Cricetulus griseus: one gene and its partners. The protein of the gene in region 3 interacts with the protein of the main gene of each other region in a pairwise test. Links are inferred from orthologs where the notes say so. Each region holds a gene or a part of one and is shown on either strand. Other genes may lie near its edges. The genes, in order: Polr1c, Psma1, Mkrn3, Fam110a, Enkd1 and Tchp.

Region 1 (4,976 bases), on a different chromosome or scaffold from region 3:
GGGTTTCACTAGACCTGGCTGTCCTGGAATTCACTATGCAGAGCAGGCTGCCTTGAGCTCATGAGAGATCAGCTCATCACTGCCTGTGCTGGGAATAAAGATGTACACCATGCCTGGCCCTACCTCTAATTAATAATAGGGGCTGGTATGAAGGCTCACAATAAAGGTGTCAAGCAAACCTGGAGACCCAAGTTCAACCCCTGAAATCCACAGAAATACGTAATCCAAAGCTGTCCTCTGACCTTCACAGCTGTGTGTACTTGTACACAGCACACAAAGTTTTTTAAAGAATTAAAATATATATCTGAGTGCTGGCACTATGCTGCAAGCTTTTACATATAGACAAAATTAATGTAAGGGCAAGTGTTCTCCCAGGTGAAAACCAATGTACAAAATGTTGACTGCCTCGACCAAGGTCTCACAGTGGTGAGCCTGGGATCTGAGCCCACAACCCACTTGAGGACAGTCATCTTCTCAATCTCACCTGGGTTCCTATATTCAAACAGACGTGGATCAGCAAGAATGGGGATGAGCCCCAGGCGGTGAGCAAGGATCTCATCCTGGACAATGGATGTGTTATTATAAACCAGAACCTTTTCCACTGCCATTGTTGGCACCTGTTCAAAAAAGCAGAATCATCCAACTGCAACACCAACTGATCTCCCTACCTGGAAATAAGAGACCCACACGTCTTCTTTTACCTCAGCTAACAGAATTCTCCGGAAAGCATTAGCAATGGCAGCATCAATTCCCACCATGTCGAACTCCAGTGTATTTTCATCCATATGAACAACATCCACACGGAAATTCTAGAGGGATAGAGAAAAAACTGATGGAACACCTGTTTCTCTTGTGTAATTCAAGCCTCCCTCTGTGATTACTCCCACCCTGGCAATGTCCCTCCATGTATGTCCACCCTCTCTCATCCTAAAGCCTTCCTGTGACCAGATGATCACTAGACTTTTGTCTTCAGCCCTGTTCTTGAGTTTTGTAAGAAGCCTGGCTGGTTTTCTTTCTTTTTTAAATTAAAAAATAAGGGGGGGTCTCCCTACCTTGCCCTAGCATTTCTGGAACTATCTATGTAAACCACAATGGCCTCGAACTCACAGGAATACTTACCTATCTTCTATGGACTAGGATCAAAGGTGTACATCACTAAGACCCTAAGCAAAGCCGGGCATTGGTGGTGCACACCTTTAATCCCAGCACTGGGCGCGCGCGCGTGGGGGGGAGGGGGACACAGGCAGATCTCTGTGAGTTCCAGGCCAGCCTTGTCTACAGATGGAGTGCCAGGATAGGCTCCAAAGCTACATCCTGTCTCAACCCCCGCCCTCTCCCCAAAAAAGACCCTAGGCAATATGGCTCCACAAAAACAACCCACAGAAGCTGCTACACTGAAGAGCAGAACGTCCCACACTGCTTAGACAAGTTAGTCCTGCATTTGTTTTTATTTTTCAATCCCTCTTTTTTCAAATTCTACTCCCTTGACTTTTGAACACCAATTTAGTTCTCTTATCTGATATTCTAAATTCTTCCTCTCACCCTGTAAATGTTACTTTCTCCCAGGTTCAAATCTCTTGGCTGACCTCAATCACACTCCTGGCTTAAGCAACTACTCAGCAACTCCCCAAACTTGGGTTCATTTTGATCTCACTTCAGGCATCATTCACTTGACCTACAGACTTCACATACAGGAATTTGAACATATTATCACTCTTTTTCTCCTGTTTATCAACTGACACAATCAGCCATCAAGACACTTCCCTAATGGAGCTGACGAGATGGCTCAGCAGTTAAGAGCATTTGACTGCTCTTACAGAAGAACTGGGTTTGGCCGGGCGTTGGGTGGCGCACGCCTTTAATCCCAGCACTCGGGAGGCAGAGGCAGGAGGATCTCTGTGAGTTCGAGACCAGCCTGGTCTACAAGAGCTACTTCCAGGACAGCCTCCAAAGCCACAGAGAAACCCTGTCTCGAAAAACAGAAGAAAAAAAAAGAAAAAAGAAAAAGAACTGGGTTTGGTTCCCAGCACCCACACTGTGGTTCATAACCATGCATAACTCCAGTTCTGGGGACCTAACTAGACCTCCCTGGGTCACCAGTCACACAAATGCACAAATATACATGCAGGTAAACACATAACCCCCCCCCCAAAAAAAAAACTCCTTAAATTCCCCACATCACAAGGCCCTTTTTCACACACACACACACACACCCCTCACCAAAGCTATATGGTACATAGCTGTTAGTTCTCCTTTTGCTCCATTTCCACTACCAGTGGAATTTATTCATTCCCTCCCAGCTATGAAGGTTACAAAATTAGATCAGTCTACTGAAAAATTCTCTTTAAGCCAGGCGAGGTAGCTCATGCTATTAATCTCAGCGCTCAGGAGGCAGAAAGGCTAGTTTCATGACAGCCAGGGATACCCAGAGAAACCCTGTCTCGAAAAAAAAAAAACAACAGAGCTCTCTATTAACTTGCAGAGCTTAAGATAACACCCCAATCAGGGACGCGAGTTTAAATTTCCAGCACTCAACACTGTAACTGACAACAGGATCCGACACCCTCACATAGATTCGGACAAAACACCAATGTACATAAAATACAAATAAATTTTCAAAGAGAAAAAGATAGACCCCGGTCTTGTCTACCACTCGGGCCAATGTATTGACATCTGGCGATAATGAACTGCTGGAGCAGGCTCTGCGCAAACAAGCGTTTGCAACAATGCTCCAATTAGGCCTGCACGGCCTAACTGTTGGCCAGTCTTCCTTCACTGACCCGAGTCTCCGTCTCTCCGACGGACCGGATTAAGTCACCTACGGGATTCCTCTCCCGCACCCCGGCCGTGCTCGCCGCTCTTGTGTTTCACCGGGATCCCTTGATCACGTGGGCCTTCACCCCACCCGGGCGGCCTGGCCACCCAGCACCCAGCACATGGATGGCTCAGCACACGTTTTTGGAACGCGGCGAGCGTGAGCCGTCTGGTCCCCGGGCCGCCGGGACACCTCCCGCGCACCCACCTTCTCGAAGCGGTCCTGGTCCCAGGCGTCGTCGTAACCCGAGTAGTTACCGGGGAAGTCGGTGGTGTGGACCTAGAGCCAACAGATGTGTTCAGCGGGGCGGTGAGGACAAGCCGCAAGCCAGGTCCCCTCCCCTCCTCCTCCCCCATCCCGCCCCCGACCCTCCCGAGTTCCGCTCCGAGCTCACGTTGCGAACCCCGAACTCTCCCAGAACCACGCGCGTCCGCATCTCCTCCACGGCCTGGGCCGCCGCCATCGTCCACCACCCGCCTCGAGACGCCTCCGGTGCGCGCAGGCGTACTAGGGGCCCGTTGCCGTCTCCCTGGCAACGCCCCGCCTCCTGAACTTATAAATGTCGCGATATCCTGCCCCGCCCCGTCCACGTCCTTCACTTCCGGACGTCAATTGGGGCCAAACATCCGGGTTTCTCCTGTTTGCATTCCGGCTGATACTACCTCGCCCTCTCTCTTTCCTGGACGTTTCCTCCTTCTCTCCGGCCCGGGTCTCACGCTGGTCCCACGCCCGCGAGCTTCAGCGACGGAAAGCCTCGAGGGACATGGCGACTCCCGCGGCGCCGGCCAGCGGCGTCCGAAACGGAGCTGGCCCGGAGTGGGGAGGCTTCGAAGAAAACATCCAGGTATGGAGCGGTGTCCCGGCTGCCGGCAGCCCCCGGGCTGGCCGCCGTCCCCTCTCGCGGCCTGGAAGTCGGCTCCATTGCAAGTGGTGGCCGCTGAGTCTCCCACGCCCAGGTCTGTAGCGCTTGTGCTGAGGAGGAAGGGCCAGGCCGAGGCTGCAGCGGGCCTCGGGTCTCCGTGGCTGGGCGGCCTGTCTGGGTCAGGCAGGTGCAGGGCTAGAGGGTAGGATTGATTCCCTGGAGCCCCTAAAGGTGGCCTGTGTGCACATAGGCTTGCTTGAAGGTGGGTGGCGGCAGGTCGGCCCCGGTGCAGCACTTCGAAGCTTTGAGGGGGAAGGTAGGAAAACAACGTGAATTGAAGATGAGTAGTGTGTTTTCTGAACCACAAAAGTGTGGCGACAAGAGTTGTGCCAGCAGTGACAAGGAGGAGTTTGGCACGATGGGTAGCAATTCCAATGTCCTCATCAGTGGGAGAGCAAAGCCTCAAACCGTGCGATGAGCAGAGAGCAGAAGGGTGCAACAGAAGGCCCCGCTCTCTAGCAGCCTTTGTCTTCACAGGGCGGGGGCTCGGCCGTGATTGACATGGAGAACATGGATGACACGTCAGGCTCCAGCTTCGAGGACATGGGGGAGCTGCATCAGCGCCTGCGTGAGGAAGAAGTGGATGCCGACGCAGCTGCTGCAGAAGAGGAGGATGGCGAGTTTCTGGGCATGAAAGGCTTTAAGGGACAGCTGAGCCGACAGGTGGCTGATCAGGTAAGCAGATGGGAAAGTGGACCCATGTGTGTCCCAAGGTGACGTAGGTTTTCCAGGGAGAACCACACAGAAATCTGGCAAAGGCTGTGTAACGTTAACAGTCTAGAGCCACCAGTTTCATAATACCCATCTCCCTTCAGATGTGGCAGGCAGGGAAGAGACAAGCTTCCAGAGCCTTCAGCTTGTATGCCAACATCGACATCCTGAGACCCTACTTTGATGTGGAGCCTGCTCAGGTCCGAAGCAGGTGAGGAGTCTTCTCAGAAGAGTCTGTCCTCACATCTAGTCCCTCATCCAGACTGCAGTCAGATACTGAGCCCTGAGCTCTGGTGGTGAAAGTGTGTGCATGCTGCCCATCTTACCAGACACCGCGCTCGGACAGCACTTGCTGTGTCCTCATTCCTCCCCAGCTGGGACTCCTAGACAACTCTGCTGGCTTCTACCATGTGGCTACATAGATTTTTATTCCTGGTCGGTCTCTCCCGAGACCAAGAGCTTCTCAAAAGCAGACTCTGCTGTCTTTATCCTTTCTTTCTTTCTTTCTTTTCTTTTCCTTTTTTTTTT
Region 2 (5,080 bases), about 49 Mb from region 3:
AATATCTATCTCAGGCTGGAGAGATGGCTTAAGAGGTTAAGAACACCGGCTGCTATTCCAGAGGTTCTGAGTTCAATTCCCAGCAATCACATGGTAGCTCACAAACATCCCTGGTGCCCTCTTCTGGCCTGCAGGGATACATGCAGGCAAAATACTGTATACATAATAAATAAATAAATCTTAAAAAAAAAAAAAAAAAAAAAAAAGAAGAAGAAACATCTATCTCTTACGGATAAGAGATTTGCCTGTTACTCTCTATTTCACACCCTGTGTTATAAATAAAATAGGTTTTAAGCTCCCTGAAGACAAGATCTGTATCTGAGTCATCTTTCTATACCCATATCATATACTACTAAGCTGTGTGAAAACAAATGTATAAAAAATATTAACCTATAAAAGAAAACTAGAATGGCTCAGGTCATCCTTAAGGCAAGGCATGTCCAGCTCTTAGGAATACAGGGCTTGAAACAATATACATGTCAACAACTACCTCATGCAAGGACATTTGAAAAGCATTAGGATGTTTAATAACACTACAAGAATTAGGGAGTGGGAATACTTAACAACACACCCAAATATTACAAATTACAATATTCAGAGGACCCAGATACAATTTCCAGTATCCACATGGCAGCTCACAATACCAGGGAAGCTAATGTCCTCTTCTGGCTTCTGAGGAACTGGGCACACACTGGTACACAATCATACATGCAGACAAAACTCTCATATGTATAAAATAAAATAATTAAAAATTATTATATTCTGGGAGACAACTTCCTGAAATATGTTACTAGGATATTTTCTAGTAAAATAAATCATTATGAATCAAAAGGGATACTTAATTTTTCATGGTCATACGTACCATAACAGTCTAGCATCAGCAGTCAGACCCGCAATTGAGATACCAATATGGTTGTCAACATGGAGAATTTTCTTCTGGTGAGCTGCAAGTTCCGACTGTGCCCTCTAAATAGAGACATAGTACGATAGTTTACAGCTTTGTTTATCAGTGAAATTTACATTTGATAGTTGTTTCCTAAAGGAGGAAGACAGTATATCATTCCACTTACCTTCAATGCAACCAACACTGCATGTGTTTTTGACTTTAGGCCAACTGTGGCTGAACCTTGTTTAACAGCTTCCATTGCATATTCAATTTGATGAATCCTGCCCTGAAGACAAAAAGAAAAGCACTTCTTATAGTCAGTCCTTAGATCCTTTTAACTAAAAATTTAAGTTTTCAGATCTTAGATGAGCATAATTGAAGTTCAGTTTTAAAACAAATAAACTATTTTTTGTTTTGTTTTGCCTTTTCAGACAGGGTTTCTCTGTGCAATCCCCTGCTTATCCTGGAACTCGTTCTATAGACCAAGCTGGCCTTGAGGTCACAGAGATCCACCTGTCTGCCTCCTGAATGCTGGGATTAAAGGTGTGTTCCCCCATTGAGCAGCTAACTAACTTTAAGCTCACAGCCTATAATTTCACAAGTTTTATTTCATTGTTTTTTAAAGATAAGGTCTTTTAAGCTGCTCAAACTGGCCTCCAACTCCATGATCTCTGGCCTCAGTATCCTGACCAGTAAGGATTAAGATATGCACCATCAAGCACAGTTTACAATCTCACAAGTTTCTGAACCTACTGAAGCCAAGAAAAGCCACTTCATAGACACAGCAGGAAAAAAAAAAAAAAAATCTTACCTGAGGACTCCAAACAGTGACATCATTGTCATACTGGTTTCGAAACTGAAAGTGAAACAAAGACAGATTACTATGAGACATTATAAACCTCAAATTTTAACATTAAGACATGTGCTTACATACGTTTTTGCTCCTGCAACTTTCCTGAGACATTACTACAGTTTGCAAGTCAAGTCTACCTTAACCATGAGCTGTTGGGATGAATGGTCTAGGGTCTTCCTAATTTCCTAGTCTGCCACTCTCCACAGCACTCTCCTTGGGCAGTCAGGGGCTAAAATATGTACATATCAACTTTTCTTCCTCTTTGCTTACACTGTTCTCTTATACAAGGCTCTAATAATTTGCCAAAGGCCTTTAAATTGACTCAAATGTCTATCTCTTTAAGGTTTCATTCTTTTTCTCTTGCAGCCCAGTTTGGCCTTCATCTGCCACGTACCTGGGAAGATATGTACCTGGGAAGATGACCTTGAAGCCCTGTCTCAACCTTGCAAGTGCTGAAATTCAGCTGTGTGCTATCATGATCTACTCTACACTTTTTTTTTTTTTTTTTTGACGAAGGTCTCTATACTCTGGCTGTCCTGGAACTCACTATGTAGGTCAGGCCAGCCTCAAACTCACAGATATCTGCCTGCTTCTACCTCCTGAGTGCTGAGATTAAATTCGTGTACCACCACACCTTCTATCTTTACATTATGATTAAAGTTATGTCTGGTTTAACTTTGTGTTCTCTTCTTGCACCTTGCCACTGAATGAATTAACATACACACAAATCCTAGGTAAAGAAGTGGGCACAAACAGCTACAGTGGCAGAACCACTACTGTTATAATGCCACTACTAAAGCAAGTGTGTGTGCGCGCTTGGGAGAACATTCCTGAGGGTGAGAGGATCAGAGTTCCTATGGCAGGCTCGACAGAAGCAGCCCGGGGCTCTTACCTTGTGAACCTGATTCCATCACTTCCCCTCTCATCTGTAACTGGTGACAAATCTAAGCATTCTAAGGAGTCGGATAAAGCCAAAAGGACCCATAAGGAAGATGGGCACTGTCTAAGGGCCTCACTGTCGGCTCAGGTCCGCGCTGGCGGTGCCGGGAGGCCAAGTGCATTCTCCACCCTCTCACTCCTATGCAGTCACGAGGGACCACAGGGTCGCCGGGAATCGGCCACGGAAGTTAAGTGGGGGAAGCTAGGGGGTAAGCGTGGCTAGCTGGCCGAGGAAGAAGCGTCTGGACCCCGTGTATAGTGGAGAAGCGACCCCAGAGGCCTCCCCGGCTACCGGCCGCTCCTCGTCGGCCAGGCCGCAGATGCTGAATCACTGCCGGAGCCCATCCGTGAGCCAAGCTCCCTCTCCCACCGCCCCGCGCCGCAGGAAACAGAGGCCGATCCCCGACCGAGTCAGCGGACCTCAGCCCCAAACCCTCCGAGGACCCAGGGCTCAACACACCATGGCTCCGGCGTGGCGACAATCAGACACAGTAGCCGACCCAGGAACACGGACCCAACTACGGTTCGGTGATCGTCAGGGAGGCCTGCCGAGTTTTGACGGCGGCAGCGCAGGGAGCACAGTCTATCCCAGAGCCACGGATCGGCGTTTAGCGCTCCCCCGCCCTCCAGCTGGGCTCTGGGTGGGCGGGGTCTGGTAAGGCTAAGGAACTGGGATTGGCGGGAAAGCCCGGGGCTCGCCTGCTTGTGCGCAGAGACAGTCGGGCGTGGCTGCTCGCCAATGCACTGACTTTCTTTGCTTTATTTCCCCCGGTGGATTGCAGATTCCCGCCGACTCTGGATCCACCAGGCTGAACGCAACCCAACTCGGGATGATGCGGCCGTGCCGCATATCATGTCGGTCACAGTCCATAGAGGTTTGGGGACTTGCCTGTCTGAAAAAGGCTGTAGAAAAAGCCACAGAACCGTAGTGTGTGCGTGTGTGTGTCTGAAAAAGGCTGTAGAAAAAGCCACAGAACCGTAGTGTGTGCGTGTGTGTGTCTGAAAAAGGCTGTAGAAAAAGCCACAGAACCGTAGTGTGTGTGTGTGTGTGTGTGTGTGTGTGTGTGTGTGTGTGTGTGTGTGCGTGTGTGAAAAAGGCTGTAGAAAAAGCCACAAAACTGTAGTGTGTGTGTGTGTAACCGTAGTGTGTGTGTGTGTGTGTGTGTGTGTGTGTGTGTGTGTGTGTGTGTGGTGTGTATGTATGTGGTGTGTGTGCGTGTATGTGTGTGGGGTGTGTGTTCCTGTTTCTGGCCTGGAATATCTTGAGTACTTGGACAGCCAGCCCATCCTTCATGGTTCCATGGTCATGTCGCCCATTTCATGAACATTACTAGCTCTTCTGGGACTTTGAACTTCACCAGGGTTCTGTTCTGATATTGAATATAGGCTGTCCACAACTAAATGCTATGCCTGGTAGATTAGGCCACTAGGGGGAAGCTGTGGGTTTTCTTACGAATTTTTAAAGAGCATCTTTTGATTTGTCCTCAAATGAAATCGAGACAGCTCTGCGCTTGCTGCCTACCTAACATATCTACAGACTGCTAATTCTTTGAAGAAAGGATAAGTGCCCAGAGTCGGCTAAGGATCCTTAAAGATCTGAACTTTGAAGGCGGAGCAACACGTCACTTAAATGTTCACGTTCAGAGCAATTAGTATCACCTTCTAAATATTTTCATGTATATGTATTTGTTCTCACATTTATTTATTTATATATTTTATGTGTATGTTTCTGGCCCTGCATACACTTATGTGAAAGTCAGAAGATAACTTGAAGGAGTTGGTTCTCTCCTTGCACCATGTGGATTCTGGAGATTGAACTCAGGTTCATGGTTTGGCAGCAAGTGCCCTAATCCTTTGAGCCATTGTGCTGGTCCCTGTTTTATTGTTGGTTTTTTTCCCCTTTTTATTTTTCTTGTCTTTTTTCTTTCCTTCTCAGTCCCTCCCCCATTTATATGCACTCAACAGTTTATGAGATTGCTTTGTTCTCTAAATTTACCAACACTGTCTCTTGTTATTTTTTTAGAATTTTTAAAAATTTTATGTGCATTGATGTTTTACCTGCATGTATGTCTGTGTGAGGGTGTTAGATTCCCTGGAACTGCAGTTATTGATGACTGTGAGCTGCCATGTGGGTGCTGGGTCCTCTGGAAGAGCAGCCAGTGCTCTTAACCATTAGCCATCTCTCCAGCTCAGGCTCTTGTTATTTTAAAAAAGTACTTCTAACTTTAAATTGATAAAGTTGTTTTGTTTGCCCCAAAGCAGCCCAAAACCTCACACATATTAAAAGTGCTTAATTTGTATTGTTGAATGAATAATGGATTTTGAATGAATGGGTAAGTTAAATACTCATTTAAAAATAGTTTCGCAACTGGAGAGATGGCTCAGCATTTACCTTGCAGAAG
Region 3 (3,982 bases):
ATTATGGTTAACATTTTAAAATTCCCATGCCTCATTTTTATTTCATTCTTATATTCTGACTAATTTCAATATTTATTACCATCTTCTCTGATGGTCTTATAATTTTTTATCATGAAAACCTTTGTCAAAAGTATTTTGCGTCTAAAGTATAAAAAGAACCAGATAAGAAAAATGAGACAGTGGCTACAATCAGAGGCACATCCATTTTATGATTACAACAGAGAAATTGTGAATGCTATCACAGGAATTATGAGATTCATGATTTAAAAGTCTTTTAAAAAGAGTCCAATACACAAAGCAGTCATTTTTATTAGATGCTAATCACTGACATCAGTGCAGGGGCAGAGAAATTGTCCACAGAATTCACACACAATCCATACACTTAGAATTTAACATTAAGCTTTCAGTTCTGCATTTATTTCGTTACTTCAAACATATATATTATGGGGTTTATTTGTTTCCAATTTCTTTCAAATACATCTTTGTATACATATACATATACGCATATATATCATTCTTAAATATATATTTCCAAATATAAATAATTTCACATCAAGCCAAACAGGATAAAAACATGTAAACATATGCACCTTATTTTGGTCAAGTAAAACAGAACCACAAAGTAACCACAAGTTAACAATTGCACTTGAAAGAGAAGGGAAGAAACAGACATGTAAACAAACACAGACAGCAGCTGCAAGGCCCTGTAAGGTTGCATTTTTAAGGCTATATAGCAAAAAGCTCATAATTTAAAGACTTTTGTCACCTTGTCACATTTACTCTTAAGGGACTTCACAATGAGAAACTGTAAACACTAGACTAGAAGTGATTGAATCCTGTTGGAAAAAGACACCACAAGTCATCAGCTGACAGAAATATTAATTCCACCAAACAATACTTTTAAGATTTCTTCTTATCTTGTAACACAGAGAAACATCACAATCCTAGTGAGAAGAAATGGGAAATAGAAGCGAAAACAGCAGTACTGCATAAAGATTGCCACAACAGCCTTTGAAAGCAATAGGGTTGTCAGTCAATAGAGGGAAGTAAGCAACAGCAGACAACAGAGCCTTAGCAGACTAGACCACATGCGATAGCATGATACTACAGATTCAAATTGAAATACTCTTCCAGCTGGAACTGAAGCAAGAGCCACCGGTCATCAGAGAAGGAAAAACTGCCTCTCAGGCAAAGCAACTTCTTAAGCAACTGATTGCCCAGGCGAAGCACAGCAAGCTCCTTCTTACGGCTTTTGAACAGCACTTTTCCCTCTCGCAACTGCACAGGCTCCAAAACTTGATGCCAGTATGCGTTTGACGATCCGCCACCACCTGGCCTCGGAGGCTGATCTCTCCAGCCCTCAGGGTATTCATGCTTGTAAAAACAGTACTCTCCAAATGGGCAGTGACCTAGGCCTCCAGCAAAATACCTGCAGGCTTTCTGGCTCATCCCCTCCTTATATTGCTGCACAAGTTTCTCCTTCTCCTCTTCCTCCTCCACCCAGAACTCACTAGGAATGACAAAGCCAGAGGAGACCCTGCACTGTGGGCAGGACTTACTGATCCTGTTCTCAAACTGTGTGGCACTTCTCCACCTGCGGATACACTTAAGACAGTAGGTGTGGTTGCAGCTGAAAAGGATGCCAAAGCGGCGGTCGCTGGGGTCGGCTTTCTCATAGACAACCTCCATGCAGATGCCACACACTTTGTCCATGCTGCGCTGCACAGCAAAGGAGAGCTCCATATCTCTCTCATGGGCTTCAACGCAGGCCCTTCTATGAGCTTCCTGCTGGGCCGCATCCCAAGGGTGCAAGGCCTGCTGCCCACACATGTCGCATATTTCTCCATGGGGGTATGCACAACTCGCCCCGCGGAGGCACTCTCCCCGGGCAGCATAGCGGCAAAGCGGCAGCGGCGCCCCCATGCCCATAGCCATGTGCTCTCTCTCAACTTCCGGGCTCGCCAGGGGAGCCTCGGGACCATGCGGGGGGATCATGCGACCTCGGTAGGGCTGTCCAGGAACAAACTCAATTGCCCCCTCCCAGCCTTCAGCACCCGCTCCTCCCGCAGCAGCTGCGGCTAGGCCTGCATTGTCAATCTCTGCTGCAGAGAAGCCCCTTTCACCAGCTGAGCCAATGCCTGCATTGTCAATCTCAGCTTCGGGGAAGCCCCTTTCAGCAGCCGAGCCAATCAGAGGCAAAGAGCTGGAGGATGCAGTAGGGGGGGCTTCCGCCTCTTCCTGAGTCGGGGGCTCCCTGTGAGTGGCCATCTTGGGCCCTCTATCTGCAGAGGCCCGAGGCTGAGAATCTTGCCCCCCCCTAGCTCTCCGCCGCCCAGAGAGGTCGTGAGAGTAGCGACAGTGATCGCCCTCCTTGCACTGCCCATGCAGATAATACCTGCAGAGGATCTGCTTTGTCCAGCTGCCGCTGTGGTGGTCGGAACCAGACCTGGCTCCGCCCCCTGCGGGCGGAACGGGCCCCAAGCTCGCCGAGCGTCGGTTCTCCGGCCTAGGAGCCACAAGGCGCTGTGCCTGGCCCGATGCCTCTGGCGGAGAGGCCGAAATGAGTACCTCGGAAGCTCCAGAAGCCTCCAACTCGGGAGGGGGGGGGGCGGACACACCCGCCCCCCCCACAGCACCTTCCTCGGCACCTGGGGCTGCACCAGAGGGAGCTGTAGACTCTTCCATTGTTATGCGCCCCTGACAGTGTCCAAAAACTGTCTAATATTATATCTTTTTTGTGCTTGAATCGGCGGAGCTGGAGCTGGACCGATCGGCTGATTCTCGGAGGGAAGTGCACCAATTTTTGTCTTCCCACCAGAAACCCGCCCCCTGTGAACTTTGGTTCCTACCCGCAGAGCGGCAGACGGACACTTCCGGTGGGGACACCAATTGCCGGTGTGAAAGCGGAAGTTACTTCAGCCATGTTTTTCTCCCGCCGCTATCGGCTTAGGGACCCGCGGTCCGCGGTCGGCCGCTCCCAGCGGGATTCGGGAGCCCCTAGCCCGGGTTTCCACACCGCCCCCCCCCCCCCGCAGGATTCGGTTGCACACACCGCATTTCATTATTTTCTCTTTGTGTGAGGAAACGCCATTGTCGCCGCCTGTGCCGCGACTGCTCTTGGAGGTTTTTATGGCGTTTCACTCGCACACGTTACAAATCATTTCCCTGTCTAATCGTCTTTTGTCTATGGGCGGCTGAGTTTTAAAATCCGGGAGTGTCTCTGCCGCGGCTTTTGTGCTCCGGCGGGTGTAGAGACGGCAGCACTTCTCCGGGGCTGTGTGCCCCTGAAGGGTTAATTCAGTGCGCTTGAATCCCAAGGGGACCCTTTGTGTGACTGGAGCTATTTAGCGCCTTTCAGACCCCTGCCTTTGTTACTGTAATCCGCCCAGCAAAGTAGAAGCCTGGGCTTCTGCCAGCATTGATGATGGCTTAATAAAACTCCGAGGGGGACACAGGTTTTCACTTTTCTCCGCTGGCTGGATTCAGGCAGACCCTTTGTTTGCCGCCTTACTTTGCATCCTGCACTAGGCTTTCAAAATACCAGCCTAACATGTCTCATTTCCATTGCCACACTGAGTTATTAGTTTGGGTGGGTTTTTTTTTTTTTTTCCTAATGTTACGCATCTATTCTATTGGGCTAATAATTCTTATATGTATTTCTAAAACGCTAAGTGTACTTCCCCATGGTCACACAATGACTTTTTAAATGTAGTTTATGCTGGCTTTTAATTAATAATCACGCTTTTTTCCCTTCCCCTACGTACGTGATTATTTGAATTCGCAATGTTCAAATATTTAATTTACTCTCCTTCCTTATCTAAAAATAGGATTTTGCTTCCCAAAACAATTTTATTAGAGGGAATCTTATAGCCTAAATTTAAAGAAACTCTTAATGTCTACGATATAGTCATCCAAGTCAAAGTGTAAGTCGCATCTAAACAAAGCCAACAAAACAATACTAAACAAGTAAGAATATTATCAA
Region 4 (4,977 bases), on a different chromosome or scaffold from region 3:
GACTTAGAGTGTGCATGCCAGCAAAAGCCCTCATACTAAATCCCTAGCAGCATTAGTCACCACAGCCAAAAGGTGGGAGTAATCCAAATACCCACCAATGAATGAATGGGTAAAGAAACACAAACCACATATCCAACAGATTATTCAGCCTTTAAAGGGGAGAGGAGACTAACATACTTTACAACATGAATGAAACTTGGAAGACATCGGGCAAAGTGCAATAAGCTGGATACAGCAAGGCATGCTTCTATGTATATAGAGTCAAAACACTGGGAACAAGGTTGAGTAGTGTTTGCCAGGGTGAGTTTGAGAGTGGGAAGTGACTGTTTATTGGGTATGGAGTTTCTGCAAACTTCAAAGTGGTTAGATGGGATCAGATAGGCTTGGGGTAAAAGTGCTTGCCATACAAGCCTGGAGATCTGGGTTCAATCCACCGAACCCACATTGGGAGATAAGAACTACTCCTGTGTGTCCTCTGACTTCCACATGCCTGTTATGTGGAATATGTGTTCATGGAATAAAAGCAGTAAGCCCCTCACTTCATAGGGTGGAGGTACATCGCAACTCAGAATGGTAAAATACGGAGTACATTGCAAGTGGTCTGAGCCCAAGCAGCTGTGTGTTCACTCTTCCCTTTGCTTCCTTTCTTCCCCGAAGAAGGTGGGTTTCTAGGGTTGACCATTTTTACGACATTTTGCACCACCCCACCTGCTCCTCTGTCCTTTCAAAGGAAACCTGGCTCAGGCTTGGTAGACAGGGAGGCCTTTAGTTGCTGCTGAGGAGGATCAAGAAGGCTCCAGGCAGTGGGGTAGAGCCAGCCCAGCTGTCCAGGTCAGAGACACCCGACTGGGCATTCTCCAGGGCAGGCCAGGTTCCAAGCTATTTCTGGAGTTTTCCCCAGGATCATGCCCCAGCCTGCCTATGAGGCAGCCTTGCTCAGAGTGGCTTTGCACGAACCTCAGGGAGAGGGTTATGAGTGGGTGTGGATGCCTAGGACAGTGAGCGTCTTTACGGACCCCCGCCCCCAATATATGCTCCTCCTCTAATTCAAACTTTGGGGACTCAGTTTGCACCCTGACAAAATGGGAGCAAAGGCAGATTTACAGTGGAAGAGGGAGAAGGAAGGGAAAGGCTGGGAAGGTAAGGCTTGAGTTAGACCTGTGGCCACGCCCATTTCCTGTCCTACAGTACCCTGTCTAGGCCTGAGCTCACATGCAGTGTTTATCCCCAGCTCAGAATGTGAAGAAACTTGCCCAAAGTCACACAGCCAGTGACAAATCACAGGCAGAGCAGTGACCTCATAGCTTTCTGGAGATGTAATCACCATGTCTACTTAGTGGCTTCTGAATTAGCTGTCCCACGGTCGAAACTACAAAGTGTGTCGTGTGTGTCATTTTCACTCAGCGCCTTTGCTGGGTAACCCACGTTCCTCTTGGTGCCACATCAGTACTTAAGGAGTTTCCGGTTATTTCTCATCAGCCCCTACTGGCCACTATGCATCTGTCCAGTTCCCGCTTGCAACAAGCCATGGCCGCAATGTAGCACCTGTCATTTTGCCTAAAAATGAGGTAGCTGGATGGGGTGGGAGGGTGCAGAATGCGTGTGTGTGTGTGTGTGTGTGTGTGTGTGTGTGTGTGTGTGTGTGTAACATCCATGCCTGTGCTTGCCAGAGTCTGCCAGAGCTGACATCACCCTACCCTGCTCCACCCCTGGCACAAAACATAGCAAATGGCCAACAGACGTTGGCTTTGATCATCTTGGTTCTGGAAGTTTCGGGCACCCTGACATTTTGTGACTGTGCTAAGCATCTTACCTGTCTGACACATTCAAGTGGAGAAGACAATAAACTGCCTAGTAAGACACCTAGTGTACAATGTGGAACAGACACTACTGAGAAAAACAAGGCGGCCACAGGAAGCCAAACAATGTAGAAAGAACAAATGAGGCAGGGGGTGTAGGCTCAGGAGGTATATGTTCAGTGGGTGTAACACAGTTGGTAGAGTGCTTGCTTAGCACGCACCAAGCCCTGGGTTTCATCCTAAAAATGACAAAAAAACTGGTGTAGTGGGGACCCATGCTTGTCATCAGAGAAGACAGATTCAGGGGGACGTTCAAGACCAGCCTAGTATACATAGTAAGACTGAAGCCAACTTGGGCCACACAAGACCCTCAGGGTAGGAGGAGATGACACATGGACAGACAGGCAAACACAGACTACCCCCAGAGCCAGAATGAGGAGTGGAGGATGAGCAGTTCCCCACAAAAGAGGCCCTCCATCAAATCCAGTTCTTCTCTGAATAGGTAAGACTGTGACTTTGAGCAATGGGCTCAACTTCTCAGAACCTCAGTTTCCCCATCTATGAAAAGAGATCAACAACAGACAGCAACCTGAGCGGGGAACATAGGCAGCCTAAATTATATGCTCCATTTGGGAGGGCCTACCCAGCACCCAACTCTAAAGTCCAGTGACTAGCAACTCTGGCTTAGAGGCTGATCCACCCGCCTCCAACACACAAAGTACACACACACCAAAGTACACACACACACACACACACACACACACACACACACACACACACACACACTACACACCACACACAGGAACAGACTCCCAAGAGGCCCACATGACTTCCAGGGCATTTGGATTTTCTGTCCTCCGGAATCTAGCCTGCCCCCCAGGGAGGCCCTCTGAGAGGGCAGCACTGGGATTCCGGACCATTCAGGCAGAAAAGTTGCCAGAGTCCCTGAGGAACGGAAGGCCATATGTCCTGAAGGGAAACTCCAAAGACAGTTGGGGTAGAGGTAGCCTAGCCCTGAGATCCCATAAGCCACATTCAACAAGCCCCTGAGAGTGACCAGCAGGGGCCCTCTGAACCTCTCAAAGAAAATCTGCCTGGAGTGGAGGCTGCAGGGTGGGACAGGGGAACAGCCGGATCCTCCGCTGGCCCCCTGGGCTGGACACTAGATAGACGTGGACCCTCGGTCAGCCCTCTGTGCTGGCACACTCGCCTCGAATGGTGCGTGGACCTACCCCAGACCCTGTGAGCCCCCTTACCCCCATGCTCACCTGCCGCCTGTGTCTGGAGGGTCCCCCGCGCTTCTCGCGAGCTGCCGAGGCTGACAGCTGGAGCGCTTGGTCCCAGAGCTCTGAGGCGGCCGTCGCGTGTTGAGACAGGCGGGCTCTTCCGAGAGGCAGGCCTTGGCTGTCCTACCGTCCTGCCGGACGAAGGTCCCCAGAGCCCGGAGGAAAGGGAAGTGAGCGAGCGGTCCCCGTCGCTGCAATGGTTCGCCCCGGACTTCCTGATTGGCCCTTCGCTTCCGTTCGAACGGCGCGCCACCCGAGTTGCCAGGCAACCTCAGGAGCAGCAGATGGGAGCGGGGCTGGCCCACGGTGGCCGCCAGGAGCCCAGCTGGCCGCGCGGCCTTCCGGCTGCCCCGGCCCTGCCGGCCAATGCGTTCCCTTTCTTCTTCTTCTCGTCCAGCTGGGATTCCCTCGGTCCCCACCTGCAGGAGTTGCTAGTCCCAGATTTGTTTGGTTTTGCACCGGCCCTAGTCCCATTTTTTTTTTTTTCTTTTTTAGGAAGGGCCTTGACATATAGCTAGCACATACTGGCCTCTCTTCACTTTTTTCTTTTGAGACAGGGTCTCACTAAGTTGCCCAAGCTGACCTTAAATTCACGCTGTGGTCCAAGTAGCCCTCAAACTTGTTATCTGCCTGCCTCAGCGTACCGACGAGTTGGTATTACTTGCCCAGCAGCCAACCTAGGTCCTGCTCCCAACTCTGCAGCTTCCTCTCTGTGTTTTCCAGGATCCCCTCTCCCTCTCCATTACCCTACTGCAATGGTAATTCAGTTAGTTTTCAAACGTGCACACCAGTAATTCCCACAATGCTTATCAAAATCAGGCCAATAGCCGGGCGTTGGTGGCGCACGCCTTTAATCCCAACACTCGGGAGGCAGAGGCAGGAGGATCTCTGTGAGTTCAAGACCAGCCTGGTCTACAAGAGCTAGTTCCAGAACAACCTCCAAAGCCACAGAGAAACCCTGTCTCGAAAAAACCAAAACAGAAAAAAAAAAAAAAATCAGGCCAATTACAGTATATAATATCCATCCTGGGAAGAAGCTAAATTGATCTTTCTACATAAATCTTATCAATACCTACCTTCAACTATCTACATTTTTCTGGTTAGGAATATTATGCAGTAACTTAAAATGATGCAATTAAATAGCATTTTAAAATAATGGAGGAATGCTAGGAAGTGTTGCCGGATTTTTAAATTTTATTTATTTTTAATTTTATATGCATTGATGTTTTGCCTGCATGTATGTCTATATAACTGTTGGATCCCCTGGAACTAGAGTTACAGACAGTTATGAGCTGCCATGTGGGTGCTAGGAACTGAACCTAGGTCCTCTGGAAGAGCAGCCAGTGCTCTCAAACACTAAGCCATCTCTGCAGCCCCATAGTGTTATGTTTTAAGCATGTTTCAAAGCACTCCTTACAGCATGAATAGGTAGTAAATACATAACCATATTATTCATACAAAAAGCATCTCCTATTTACAAAACAGCAGCTAACTCTTTTGCATTTAAATATGCTTCCATTCACTCTTTGAGAATGTCATACATACATACATACATACATACATACAATGTATTTTGATCATATTTGCTCCACTTTCCCCCCCAACTCCTCCTACATCCATCCTCATTCTCTCCTTCCTTTCCTTTTGTTTTTTATAACCCACCAAGTCCAATCTGCTGCCCAACTATTCATGGGTGTAGAGCTATACACTGGGCTGTGATCAAACCACCAAGGGCTGCACCCTTTACAAAGCAACTGACTTTCCTTCCCCAGAAGCCATCAAATGTGAAAAGCTCCTCAGCTAGGAGTGGGGGCTCATAAGCCCCTTCCTGCTCTGTGTTGAAATATTAAGGGCTTGATCTTGTACAGGCAACCCAGCTGCCGTGACCACAG
Region 5 (5,098 bases), about 47 Mb from region 3:
AGGACTCAGGAGGCTTCAGTAGAAGGGGCAAAAATTTGAGGCCAGTCTAGGTTATACAGAGAATTCAAGGACAGCCTGAGGCTAAGCAGCAAGCTACAGCCTCAGAAAGGAGTGAGCTGGAAGTGGTGGTCCAAACCTATAACCTCGACATTTGAGAGGTTAAGGCAGGAGGAATATTAAAAGTTCAAGGCTAGCTGGGCATTGGTGGCAGATCTTAGTGAGTTCGAGGCCAGCCTGTTCCTACATGATGACTTTGGGGCTAGACCAAGCTACATATTGAGACCCTGTTTCAAAAGAAAGTAGTAGGGTTGGGGGAGCTGGAGAGATGGCTCAGCAGTTAAGAGCACTGGATGCTCTTCCAGGGGACTAGTATCCAGTATCACATGACAGTTCACAGTAGTCTAGAACAAAAGTTGCAGGAGATCTGATGCCACCTTCTGGCCCCTGTGACACATAGACTTGCAGGCAAAATACCCATACACATAAAAAAAAAAAATTAAACTAATTCATTTAATTTTATTTTATGTGCATTGGTGTGAGGGTGCCAGATCCCCTGGAACCCTCATAGATAGTTGTGAGCTGATATGATGGTGGGAATTGAACCCAAGTTTTCTGCAAGAGCAGCCAGCAATCTTAACCCCTGAGCCATCTCTCCAGCCCCATAATTTTTTTTTTTCAAAAATCAATTAACTAAGAGAAAAAGAGAGAAAGTGGTATGGTAATATACATCTTTTGTTTTGTTTTGTTTTGTTTGTTTTTTCAAGGCAGGGTTTCTCTGTGTAGCTTTGGAGCCTATCCCGGCACTTGCTCTGGAGACCAGGCTGGCCTCAAACTCACAGAGATTCGCCTGCCTCTGCCTCCCAAGTGCTGGGATTAAAGGCATGAGCCACCAACGCCCGGCTGGTACTATACATCTTTAATTTCAGTACTTGGTAGGTGGAAAAGGAGAGTTAGGAGTCAACTCTAGTCATGTACACAGAGTTTGAGGACAGCCTGGGCTAGACAGAGACAGAGAAACTGAGAATGAATTAGTAGGAAGGCTGGGCGCATAACTTAGTGAGTGGTACACTGTATGCCTAAGGTGCAAGAGACCCTGCATTCAATCTGCAACACTACAAATAAATGATGTTGACAAGTAGCTTAGGTACTTCTTTCAGATATGTGTCAAGATAGCTTTCAGCTCTAATTGTCTACATATTGAATTATAACTATTATCCCCATTGCCTTGACCCCAGGACTTCTTTCTACCTGTGAGGTTTCATCTCTATGGTCTCATCTCTTCCCCTAGCCTAATTTTTTTTTTTTTTTTTTTATTAGTTCAAATTAGGAACAAGCTTGCTTCAGATGTCAATCCCTTCTCCCTCTCCCTCTCCTCCCCCCAACATCCCACCTGCCCCTAGCCATCCCCCCTCCACTCCCCAGGCAGGGTAAGGCCTTCAAAAGGGGCTCCCCAAAGTCTACCACATCATCCTGGGCCAGGCCTAGGCCCTTCCCCATGTGTCCACCTAACCTAATTCTTACTTGTCCTGATGTCATCAGCAGCTCAGAGAAGGTCCACCCCAGATGTCTTAGCCTTTATGATCCCCCTACACATACCCTTTAAGTTAGATCAGGGTATAGTTGTCTGTTGGCCAATAGGGACAATATGTCTGGCTACGAGGAACAGATACCTTCATCCTGGCCTTGACTCGGGACTCGACATTGTCATACTTGGGTGAGCGCCACAGTGCCTTCAGGGGCTTAGGCTGGCCCTGCTCCCGGCTTCGTTCTTGATCTTGGAAGCGCCTCTGAATCTCTCTGATCCGCTTCAGGTTTTCCTTCTCATGGTCTTTTGGATCCTTCCCTGGGGAAAAACTGTTGCTAGGGACAACTCTACAAATGGCCATGGGACTTAGACCACACAGGCTCACACTGTATCCTTTGCAGAAATTTCTCCCAGACAATCTGGTAGATGCCTAGAATACAAGAGGCCCTGGGTTTCAATATCCAACATCACACACACAACATTTAAATACAACCAAGACCTCTTTATGTAAGCTAGACTCCATACACACAGCACTATTATCATCTTAATCTCTCCTTCCACAGTGTTCCTTCTGGTATCTTCTACATTTTGATAGTGATACCATTACCTTGTCCTGTCTTGTTTATTGCCTCCAACTGTTCCACTCATACTTTTAAAGTCTGTTTTCCCAACACCTATAGGGCTTGGCACAAAAGCAGGCTAAGTAAACAACGTTCCATCGAGGTGTGAATGCTTGAAGCTAGGATTACCTACATAAGAACGGAACTCTGATCCTGTTAGGAAGTAGTGCATTTCGGCCTCTTTTTGTGCTAGGGAAACTAAGACCCACAAAAGTACATTAATTACCTGGGCTCAAGGCAATTAAGAAGCATCCTGTTTTAATTTCTGCTTTTGACCGCCGAATGCCTCGATACCACTTCTGGCAAGGACTTACTCTTAGGAGATACCCCTGAACCAAGGGATATGCCCTCCAGTTGCAGCAGCACGTCTCCCACGCCTCGCTGGCCACGCTCTAGTATCTCTCGGGCTCCAGGCCTGATGCGGGGGCCACGAGAAGGGCTGAAGTCCATGTCGCGACCTGAAGTCAGCAGGTCCAGCTTCAGTGCGTTTCCTTCCAGGCGCCCTTGGGCTGAAGAGCAAGACGCGGTGGAAAGCCGTGCTCAGTGGCGGCGCGAGCTACTCGCCACGCCGTGGGACCCCGCAACTCACCCGAGGCCGGCCGCCGGTAGTAGTCCGGGCAGAGCGTAGGGTCTGGGGGAATGGGTCCAGAGATGCTGGATGGGCCTTCGCACATGATCCTATCGCAGCCCTGCAACCGTGCAACGAAGCCTGCTGCGCTGCGCAACTTCGGCCCCCAATCCCTGTTGGGTGCTTCCATCCGCCACCCGAGCCCTGCAGCCCCGCAGTAGCCCCCATTCCCGACCCCCACCCTCGTCTCTCGCCCAGTCCCTAGGCTCAGTCTGCGCCACCATCCTGCTACCGGGATCCTGGCCGACTGCCCTGAGGTGTTCGCGACCCCTCCCCCGCAACACCCCAGAGGGGGCTCTCACTGGAGCAGTTTTACCGCCAACTGTTGCAAGCTAGTAGGAGTTGCTGTTGCTTGGCAACAAATGACTTCCTGAGGTCAGGGGTCAATAACTTCGGCGAAAAGCCTTCTGGGGTTTGTAGTTCCAGGTTAGGAACTATTTTTAAGTCGCAGGTCTCACCTCCCAGCGGGTCTACCCTACCAAGACTGAGTACACCAGTCCAACCTCCTCTGAACCCGCCGTCTTCTCCTAGCAACCGTCAAGGGATGCACTGATTCCGCACAGCCATGGCCTCAGCAGGGGCCCAGAGGCAGCCAGATGCCCAGAATGGGGCGACAGTAGGATTAGCCCAGCTTGCAGAGATCACTGAGGTGACTCAGGCATTTTCGAAGCTAGGGAGGTAGAAGCGGTAGGGCAGGAGAGGGGGACTGTAGGTGACCCAACCCCCTAACTGCCTGGTCGAGTCCTGCAAGTAGAGGGGCCTGAGCTGGTAGCCTTCATGTCATATTTTGTGGCCAATACTGGACTTTGAATGACTGGTCCCTACAATACTTTGCCTGGCCATTGGCTACTCTGCGTATCTTCCAGTGTCCAGGACCAGGACCAGGAGAAAAGTGTCTGGTGCCCGCACATGAGACCTGCAGAACCCCAAGTGAAGACAAGTATTCAGTAGGACACAGCTTCGAGCCAGAGCTCCAGGAGGAAGGAATAAACCGGGGAGAGGAAGGGCTCAATCCAGGGGTGGAAGCAGGAGAGGAGAGAGGACCCAAGCCTACATCATCCATCGTGAGGCCCAGTCATGGACCCAAGAGAAAGCCTATCAAGTGAGGGGGTTTTCAGAGGGAAGGAGTTGCAGGGCTGAAGGGGGTGGGGATCTTACACCCCGAGCTTCCTAAATCCTGATTCCTTCTAGGCAGATATCTTTGTCTTCTGCAACTGCCCCAACTCCCAACTAGAAACTTCTGTTTCTCTAGAAAAGGAGTCTAAGAGGAAGAAAAAAAAAAAAAAAGATTTGGGGCTTTCAGGTCTTATAAGAGACAGTGTTACCATGAGTAGCAGGTCTCTATTGGGCTTGGAGCTTCATTGACCAGGAAAGGGCAGCTGACTAGTCCTGGGGTTGGTGGGCAGGCTGGGCTAGGCCCTAGGCTCAAGACACAGGAGCCAAAGACTGAAGTGCACCTCTTTCAGGCCTCTTGTTCCAGGCTTGGGCACCCCAGCCCTCCCAGGGCCAAGCTACCATGCCCATCCTAGGGCTGAAGCTGAGCTGCCACCAGGGCTGCTGCTGCAGAAGGAGGAGCCAGAGGGCAGTCACAGTGAGTCCTCACTGTCTGCTAAACAGCACAAAAAAGCCAAGAAACGCAAGAGTGTAGGGGCTCCTGTGCCCCCAGCTTTAGCTGGCACATCCACACCTACGGAGACGTTGGGGCTGGAGCGTGAGTGGCAATCTCTGGGGGTACCTTTTTTTGTCTTCTGGGTCTGACATGGCACCACCTGATGCTCCAGCCTTTGCCCTGCCTCCGGTTCTTGCAGGAAAAGCCCAGCGCCTGCGGCCACTGTACCAATATATCAACTATTGCAACCCTGAGCTGAATCAGGCAGGGGACGGGGACAGAGAGCCAGAGGTGGAGCCTGAGTCGGAGTTGGCCCTGGCTCCTGAGGAGGCGGGTGTGGAACAGCTGCAGTTGCAGGCCTTGCTGCCAGTGACAGGTGAGCTGGGCTTAGGCCTTGCTATGCCCTGCCCAAATACACTAGCACCACTCACGCACACTCTTCCTCCTCTAGGACAGGAGGTTGGAGAGCAGCCTGGGGGGTTGTCTAGTCTGAGGATGAGTGGCAGCCTCAAAGCTGAGGTGGATAAGACAACCCAAGTGGATATTGACAAGATGCTGAGTGTCTGTGCTGCTCCTCTTGTACCCCCCCTCTCCCCTCAGTACAAGTGACCGCCCACCCGCTGAGAATGTCTCTCCTCTAGGCCTAAACTAGGGCTGCAAGCTCAGGCCTAGGCCATCAGGTGGAGGAAGGAATTCAGACTTTGTACTTGGGAATT
Region 6 (4,911 bases), on a different chromosome or scaffold from region 3:
TAGACAAAGCCAATAGAAGTCAGCTGAGGTCATGACCTCCATTCAGCAATGTCAACACATCTGTCACTCAAGTCTGCTTTCCTTACACACAAGTCTGGGGACAGGATATCTGAGCAGAATGGACCAAGAGCTAGCTAAAATCTGATGCTATGGCTGGCTTCCTTCTAGGAGTTTCCAAGTCCATAGCAAGTTGAAACACACAGACTGAGGCTAGTTACCATAGCCACTTGAAGATAAAATACAGTGTTCCCAGACCTTTGTGGAACCACAGAACTGAGCACAGGAAGGAGGAATCACTTGTAGTGATTTGTAAGGCAGAGAAGGGAGCTACCACATATCAAACACTCCCTGTAAAGACACTTAAGAGTGGGCCCTGGCTTTTTGTCGGCCCTCACTCTTGCTGGCAAACTCATTCACCCTGTTCTGTGGCCAGTATTAACTCCATTCTTACAGAAAGAAAACCAGATGTTAGCCATCACACACCTTTAATCCCAGCATTTGGGAGGCAGAGGCAGGTGGATCTTTGAGTTTGAGGCCAGCCTGGTCTACACAGCGGGTTCCAGGACAGCCAGGGCTACATGTGGTGGTGATACATTATTTATGATTTAATAAAAAGTGTCGTAGGTAGAGAAAGCAAAGCCAGTCATTAGCTCTTAGCTCTACCTCAGGTTGAAAGGGCTGTCCTGTCTCCAGGAACTCTTCACCAAGCCTCAGACTGCTGCCTCTCCTCAGCGTGGCTGGAGAATAAACCTCAGAATTCAGCCTGAGACACTGGGCTCCTGTCTTTTATAAACCTCTCTAGGGCTGGGATTAAAGACATGTGATCTCAAGTGCTGGGATCTAAGGCATGAGAGCTCTGTTACTCTTCACTCTTATGTAGGCCAGGGTGGCCTTGAACTCAGAGAGATCAACTTGCCTATCTCCTGAGTCCTGGGATCAAAGGTGTGTACCACCACTGCTTGGCTTCTACAGCTAAATAGTGGTCTGGCTTTGCTTTCTGATACTTCAGGCAATCTTTATTAAACATAAATGATACATCACCACAGCTTCACAGAGAAACCCTGTCTCAGAAAAAAACATAGCTGTCCTCCCCACCTCCGGCAAATCCTTAACATTCTACCATATCTGGTTCTGATCACAGGCTCACATTTTAAATGCTTGCCCTCAGCCAGGCACGTTATTCACCTTTCATCCCAGCATGAGGAAGTCAGAGGCAGCCAGGTCTCTGTGACTTTGAGGTCAGGCTGGTCTACAAAGAAAGTTCCAGGCAAACCAGGACTACATGGTGAGACACGTTCAAAACAGCAACAAAAAACCAACAGCAAAAATAATTGCTCCCCAGCTGGTGGCACTATTCAGAGGAGCCTGGGTGCCTTTAGTGGTGAGGAATTAGCTCGAGGAAGCAGCCCCCCCCCCCCGGCATGTCATTGAATGTTATAAACCAAACCCTACTTCTAATGGCTTGAGACCATCTAAAGCCAAGAGCTAAAATAGACTTTTTCTCCCTAAATAAATAAAGTGCTTTCCCCATGGACTCTTAGAATCATCTGGCCAACTCATCTGACCAAGGCACCCAAGAATAACCCCACAGATGCAACGGTCAGTTCAGCCTTCAGACACTCCCACTCTGCAACCTTGTTTGGGTCTAGGCTGGTTACCAGTTTCCTTCGTTCTTCTCGGGCTGACTTCAGATCCTTGTGCTGTTCCCTGATTTTTCGTTCCTGCAGGTTCACATTCAACCTCAGCTCTTCCAGCTCAGCGGCCAGCAGGTCCTGCTCCTCCAGCACAAGCTGCCTGAGTCTCTCACGGCGGGCTTCCAGACTCATCCTCTTCTCCTCCTTCATCTTCTCACGATGGTAGGCGTTCATGCTAGGTAAGGAGCCCACTGAGAATCAGCCACACCCAGGCCACAGTTTCATATGCATTTCTATATATGTTGGGGGGCGGGTATTTAAACACAAACACCTACAGAAAAGATGACTGATAGATTTTATCTTTCAAAATGCATGTTATTTCACTGGTTATTCTACACACACACACACACACACACACACACACACACACACACACACACACACACCACCCCATTTCCAGCTAGAATAGCATCACCATATAGATTACTCATGCTGTCACAAGCCACAGTACTTAGGCCCTGAGGCCACATGCCCCCAGCAGCTAATGGTAGGAATCAGCAGGCAGGACATTGATACTTGCCTCCTTTGGTAGGAGGTCTTGGAACTCCATTCGGCCAGTTTGGAGCTGTGGATGTCCGTAGTCTTGAAATAACGGCTGTTCTGCTCCCACTGCTGGCGAAGCTGGGCCTCCTGCTCTTGCTGGCGTTGGCGTGCTACCTTCTTGTCCAGGGGTCTCCGGGTGAGCCAATAAGAGGGCAGCGTGGGGAGCGCCATCTGAAGGGGACATCAGCGGGCAGAATCGAAGCCAGCTGCAAACTCAGGAACTTACTTGGATGGTCTCCTGTCTTTTACGAGGGCGCTCGCCCTTTGGCTGCACCTTTATAACAGCTTTAGGATCCACATTGCCACCCAAAACTTTACAACGAGGCCCAGGCCCGCACGTTTTAAATGATGTGCCACTGAGGCTGCAAATTATCAAATTAAATGAACCTGGACTGTGCCCGGCAGCGAGCCAGCCATTATCAGGGACGTTACCGACACAGACATCTTCCTGACAAGGCCGGGAAAGGCATAAAATGACAGGGGCAAGCAGGGCTCCGCGGCAGGCCCCAGCAGCCCCAAGGACTTTGGAGGCCGAAGCAGGACGAGATCACTTGAGTCCAGGAGTTCAAAGCCAATCTGGGCAAAACAGGAAGCCCTGTCCCCAGAGCAACAAAAGTAACTAAAGGCGATGACTTAGTTATCAGTGTGTGCGAGCACCGGACATGCACCCCATCCGGTGTCCGGAGACCTCCGACCAGCGAAGACAGCGGACGTCTCGGCCCAGCCTAGCCTCTGACTTGTGTTTCCCTGCACCCCAAGTTCTCCAAGAAGAGGCTCCGGCCTAAGCCCGAGCACGCGCTCACCAGATCCGAGAGTTCTGTGGCGCCAGCGGCAGCGACGCCAGCCGTTTCCCCTTCGGTTGCCCGGCAGCCCGCGGGACGACGGAGGCCGCGAAGGCCAAAGTACCTCCTGCACGACGCAGCCGCTCACCAGGAAAAAGAAGGGAAGTTGTTGTTCTGGCGCCCCCTCGCGGTAGGAGGAAAATCGACAGCAAGTGTCGCTAGGTGCCAGAGTGAGTCATGACCCAGAGTCAGGGTGGCGGTCCCCGGGGTGGGGGTGAAAACCAAGGGAATAGGAGAGAGGAGAATTAAGCCCATGTTTCTCAAATAGGGCACATCAAAATCATCCAGGGAGACGCCCCGAGGGAAAAAGAAATGATTTTCAGTGCTCCCTGGGTGTTGCCCGGTAGGCAGCAGAGGCCAGTAACAGCTGGTCTGGGTAATTACAAGTCTTTGGTAAATTCCTACTGATGTCTTGGATTACTGGTGGGTACAGAGGTTTTAATAACTGTAACTCACATGATTGCACGTATTTATGCATTAACTATTCCATTTTTAAAAAAGCAGGGCTGGGGAACTCCGCGATTGTGTGTGCTTAGCAAGTGCAAAGCTCTGAACTCACAATCCCCAGCACCCAGCACCCAGAATGCTGAGACATGAGACATAAGACTATAAGTTTATTATAAGGCCCGGCAGAGTAGGGAGACTAAGAGAAGAGGAACAGGGTAATGGCTGACTGCCATGGTCGGTCACCATAGAGAGACAGAGAGAGAGCATAGGTGGGAGACAGAGTAGAGAGAAAGCAGAGACAAAGCAGAGTGGGGAAACAGAGAGGAAACAGAGAGCATAAATGGGCAGGGACCTGTCCTTTTAAAGGGGTCCTCTGTATCTGCGTGCAGACTTAGTTCCCATGGAATCTTGGGCTGACCAGGGTACTGCCTGTTCCACCAGGTAACAGGAGCAGGCCAGCATAATGCCTGAACCTTTCATTCCCACCTCTACTTATTATTTTAAAAAGGTGGGGTGTTAGACATGGCAGGTTAAGGAATAAGGGCGTCGAATTCTCAAGACTGCTTCCTGCTGATGTGGGGGGCGTTGACCATCTTTGGGGGACCCGAGAAGGTTGGGGTGCTGCCACGTCCTGGGGAAGCTGGTTGTTTCATTGAAGTCCAGGCTGTATGGAACTCCCTGATGCCTCTTAGACCTGGCAAGATGTTGACAGAGCAGAGGACAAGGTTAAGTTTAGAAAAAAATTTTTTCTTAGATCCTGTCACTTGAGGGGAAGATTGTAAGATGAGGGAGGGGTTCCTGAGGAGTCCCAAGATGAATGAAGGGAATTTGGGACCGGGGAAAGGTTGAATATTACATGAAGTGAATCTGACCTGTTTGGATCTGATTCGGCTCCCTGGAACTTACAAGAATCCTTAGAGTTTGTGGAAACATAAGTATTAGACATGTTAGAAGCATATTCATGTTAGAAGCAACTTGGCTGAAAGTATTACCATTTAAAAATAGACAGATTTTTTTGGGGGGACCATGAAAAGCATCTTAATCTTGACCTTGTAGTTATGTTCCTATAGTGGTATTGTTGAACTTTACTATGAACAGTAGCATGAGAAATAGAGAAATCAGGAACATATTTCATTCTTTTACACTTTTCTATCTTCACATAGATAAACCCTAAAATACCTGTTCCTGGAATCTGTTTTGCTTTAAGCTGGCAAGACTGCCAGTCGTCAAAAGCATCAGAGTTCTTGAGAAGGATAAGATTTTACCTGAATCAATGATTAAAGTATAACAGAGACTTGCCAGATGCTGCATAGACAGCAACCCCCAAGGTCCTCCACCCATAGTAGTGGGCTGTAGGACGTCTGCCTTCTTGCTGATAGCATGTG

What was found.
Region 1: the proteins of Mkrn3 (region 3) and Polr1c interact in binary tests that used the Homo sapiens proteins (3 or more experiments, as listed by UniProt). The two-hybrid records come from large-scale screens. The link is inferred for Cricetulus griseus from reciprocal best matches to the Homo sapiens genes MKRN3 and POLR1C.
Region 2: the proteins of Mkrn3 (region 3) and Psma1 interact in binary tests that used the Homo sapiens proteins (3 or more experiments, as listed by UniProt). The two-hybrid records come from large-scale screens. The link is inferred for Cricetulus griseus from reciprocal best matches to the Homo sapiens genes MKRN3 and PSMA1.
Region 4: the proteins of Mkrn3 (region 3) and Fam110a interact in binary tests that used the Homo sapiens proteins (3 or more experiments, as listed by UniProt). The two-hybrid records come from large-scale screens. The link is inferred for Cricetulus griseus from reciprocal best matches to the Homo sapiens genes MKRN3 and FAM110A.
Region 5: the proteins of Mkrn3 (region 3) and Enkd1 interact in binary tests that used the Homo sapiens proteins (3 or more experiments, as listed by UniProt). The two-hybrid records come from large-scale screens. The link is inferred for Cricetulus griseus from reciprocal best matches to the Homo sapiens genes MKRN3 and ENKD1.
Region 6: the proteins of Mkrn3 (region 3) and Tchp interact in binary tests that used the Homo sapiens proteins (3 or more experiments, as listed by UniProt). The two-hybrid records come from large-scale screens. The link is inferred for Cricetulus griseus from reciprocal best matches to the Homo sapiens genes MKRN3 and TCHP.

Annotation. Positions count from the first base shown.
Region 1 is NW_023276806.1:255,712,038-255,717,013, forward strand, and holds the start of Polr1c (DNA-directed RNA polymerases I and III subunit RPAC1), read right to left. Parts: upstream 3,371-4,976; 5' UTR 3,279-3,370; coding exon 3,210-3,278; intron 3,095-3,209; coding exon 3,023-3,094; intron 810-3,022; coding exon 702-809; intron 618-701; coding exon 485-617; intron 1-484. Other genes in the region: protein YIPF3, read left to right, coding at 3,579-3,659, 4,215-4,412, 4,553-4,659. UniProt on the Homo sapiens protein: DNA-dependent RNA polymerase catalyzes the transcription of DNA into RNA using the four ribonucleoside triphosphates as substrates.
Region 2 is NC_048596.1:86,388,307-86,393,386, reverse strand, and holds the start of Psma1 (proteasome subunit alpha type-1), read right to left. Parts: upstream 3,290-5,080; 5' UTR 3,142-3,289; coding exon 3,139-3,141; intron 1,743-3,138; coding exon 1,698-1,742; intron 1,173-1,697; coding exon 1,071-1,172; intron 967-1,070; coding exon 863-966; intron 1-862. UniProt on the Homo sapiens protein: Component of the 20S core proteasome complex involved in the proteolytic degradation of most intracellular proteins. This complex plays numerous essential roles within the cell by associating with different regulatory particles.
Region 3 is NC_048596.1:135,056,386-135,060,367, reverse strand, and holds Mkrn3 (probable E3 ubiquitin-protein ligase makorin-3), read right to left. Parts: upstream 2,801-3,982; 5' UTR 2,686-2,800; coding exon 1,105-2,685; 3' UTR 185-1,104; downstream 1-184. UniProt on the Homo sapiens protein: E3 ubiquitin ligase catalyzing the covalent attachment of ubiquitin moieties onto substrate proteins.
Region 4 is NC_048599.1:28,036,473-28,041,449, reverse strand, and holds the start of Fam110a (protein FAM110A), read right to left. Parts: upstream 3,282-4,977; 5' UTR 3,068-3,281; intron 1-3,067.
Region 5 is NC_048596.1:181,988,311-181,993,408, forward strand, and holds the start of Enkd1 (enkurin domain-containing protein 1), read right to left. Parts: upstream 3,140-5,098; 5' UTR 3,076-3,139; intron 2,835-3,075; 5' UTR 2,820-2,834; coding exon 2,735-2,819; intron 2,655-2,734; coding exon 2,460-2,654; intron 1,844-2,459; coding exon 1,671-1,843; intron 1-1,670. Other genes in the region: CUNH16orf86 (uncharacterized protein C16orf86 homolog), read left to right, coding at 3,339-3,422, 3,640-3,875, 4,240-4,484, 4,582-4,991. UniProt on the Homo sapiens protein: Microtubule-binding protein which regulates microtubule organization and stability. Promotes the stability of astral microtubules and facilitates the proper orientation of the mitotic spindle.
Region 6 is NC_048597.1:94,317,478-94,322,388, reverse strand, and holds the start of Tchp (trichoplein keratin filament-binding protein), read right to left. Parts: upstream 3,186-4,911; 5' UTR 3,041-3,185; intron 2,444-3,040; exon of another isoform or gene 2,409-2,443; coding exon 2,215-2,408; intron 1,870-2,214; coding exon 1,659-1,869; intron 1-1,658. UniProt on the Homo sapiens protein: Tumor suppressor which has the ability to inhibit cell growth and be pro-apoptotic during cell stress. Inhibits cell growth in bladder and prostate cancer cells by a down-regulation of HSPB1 by inhibiting its phosphorylation.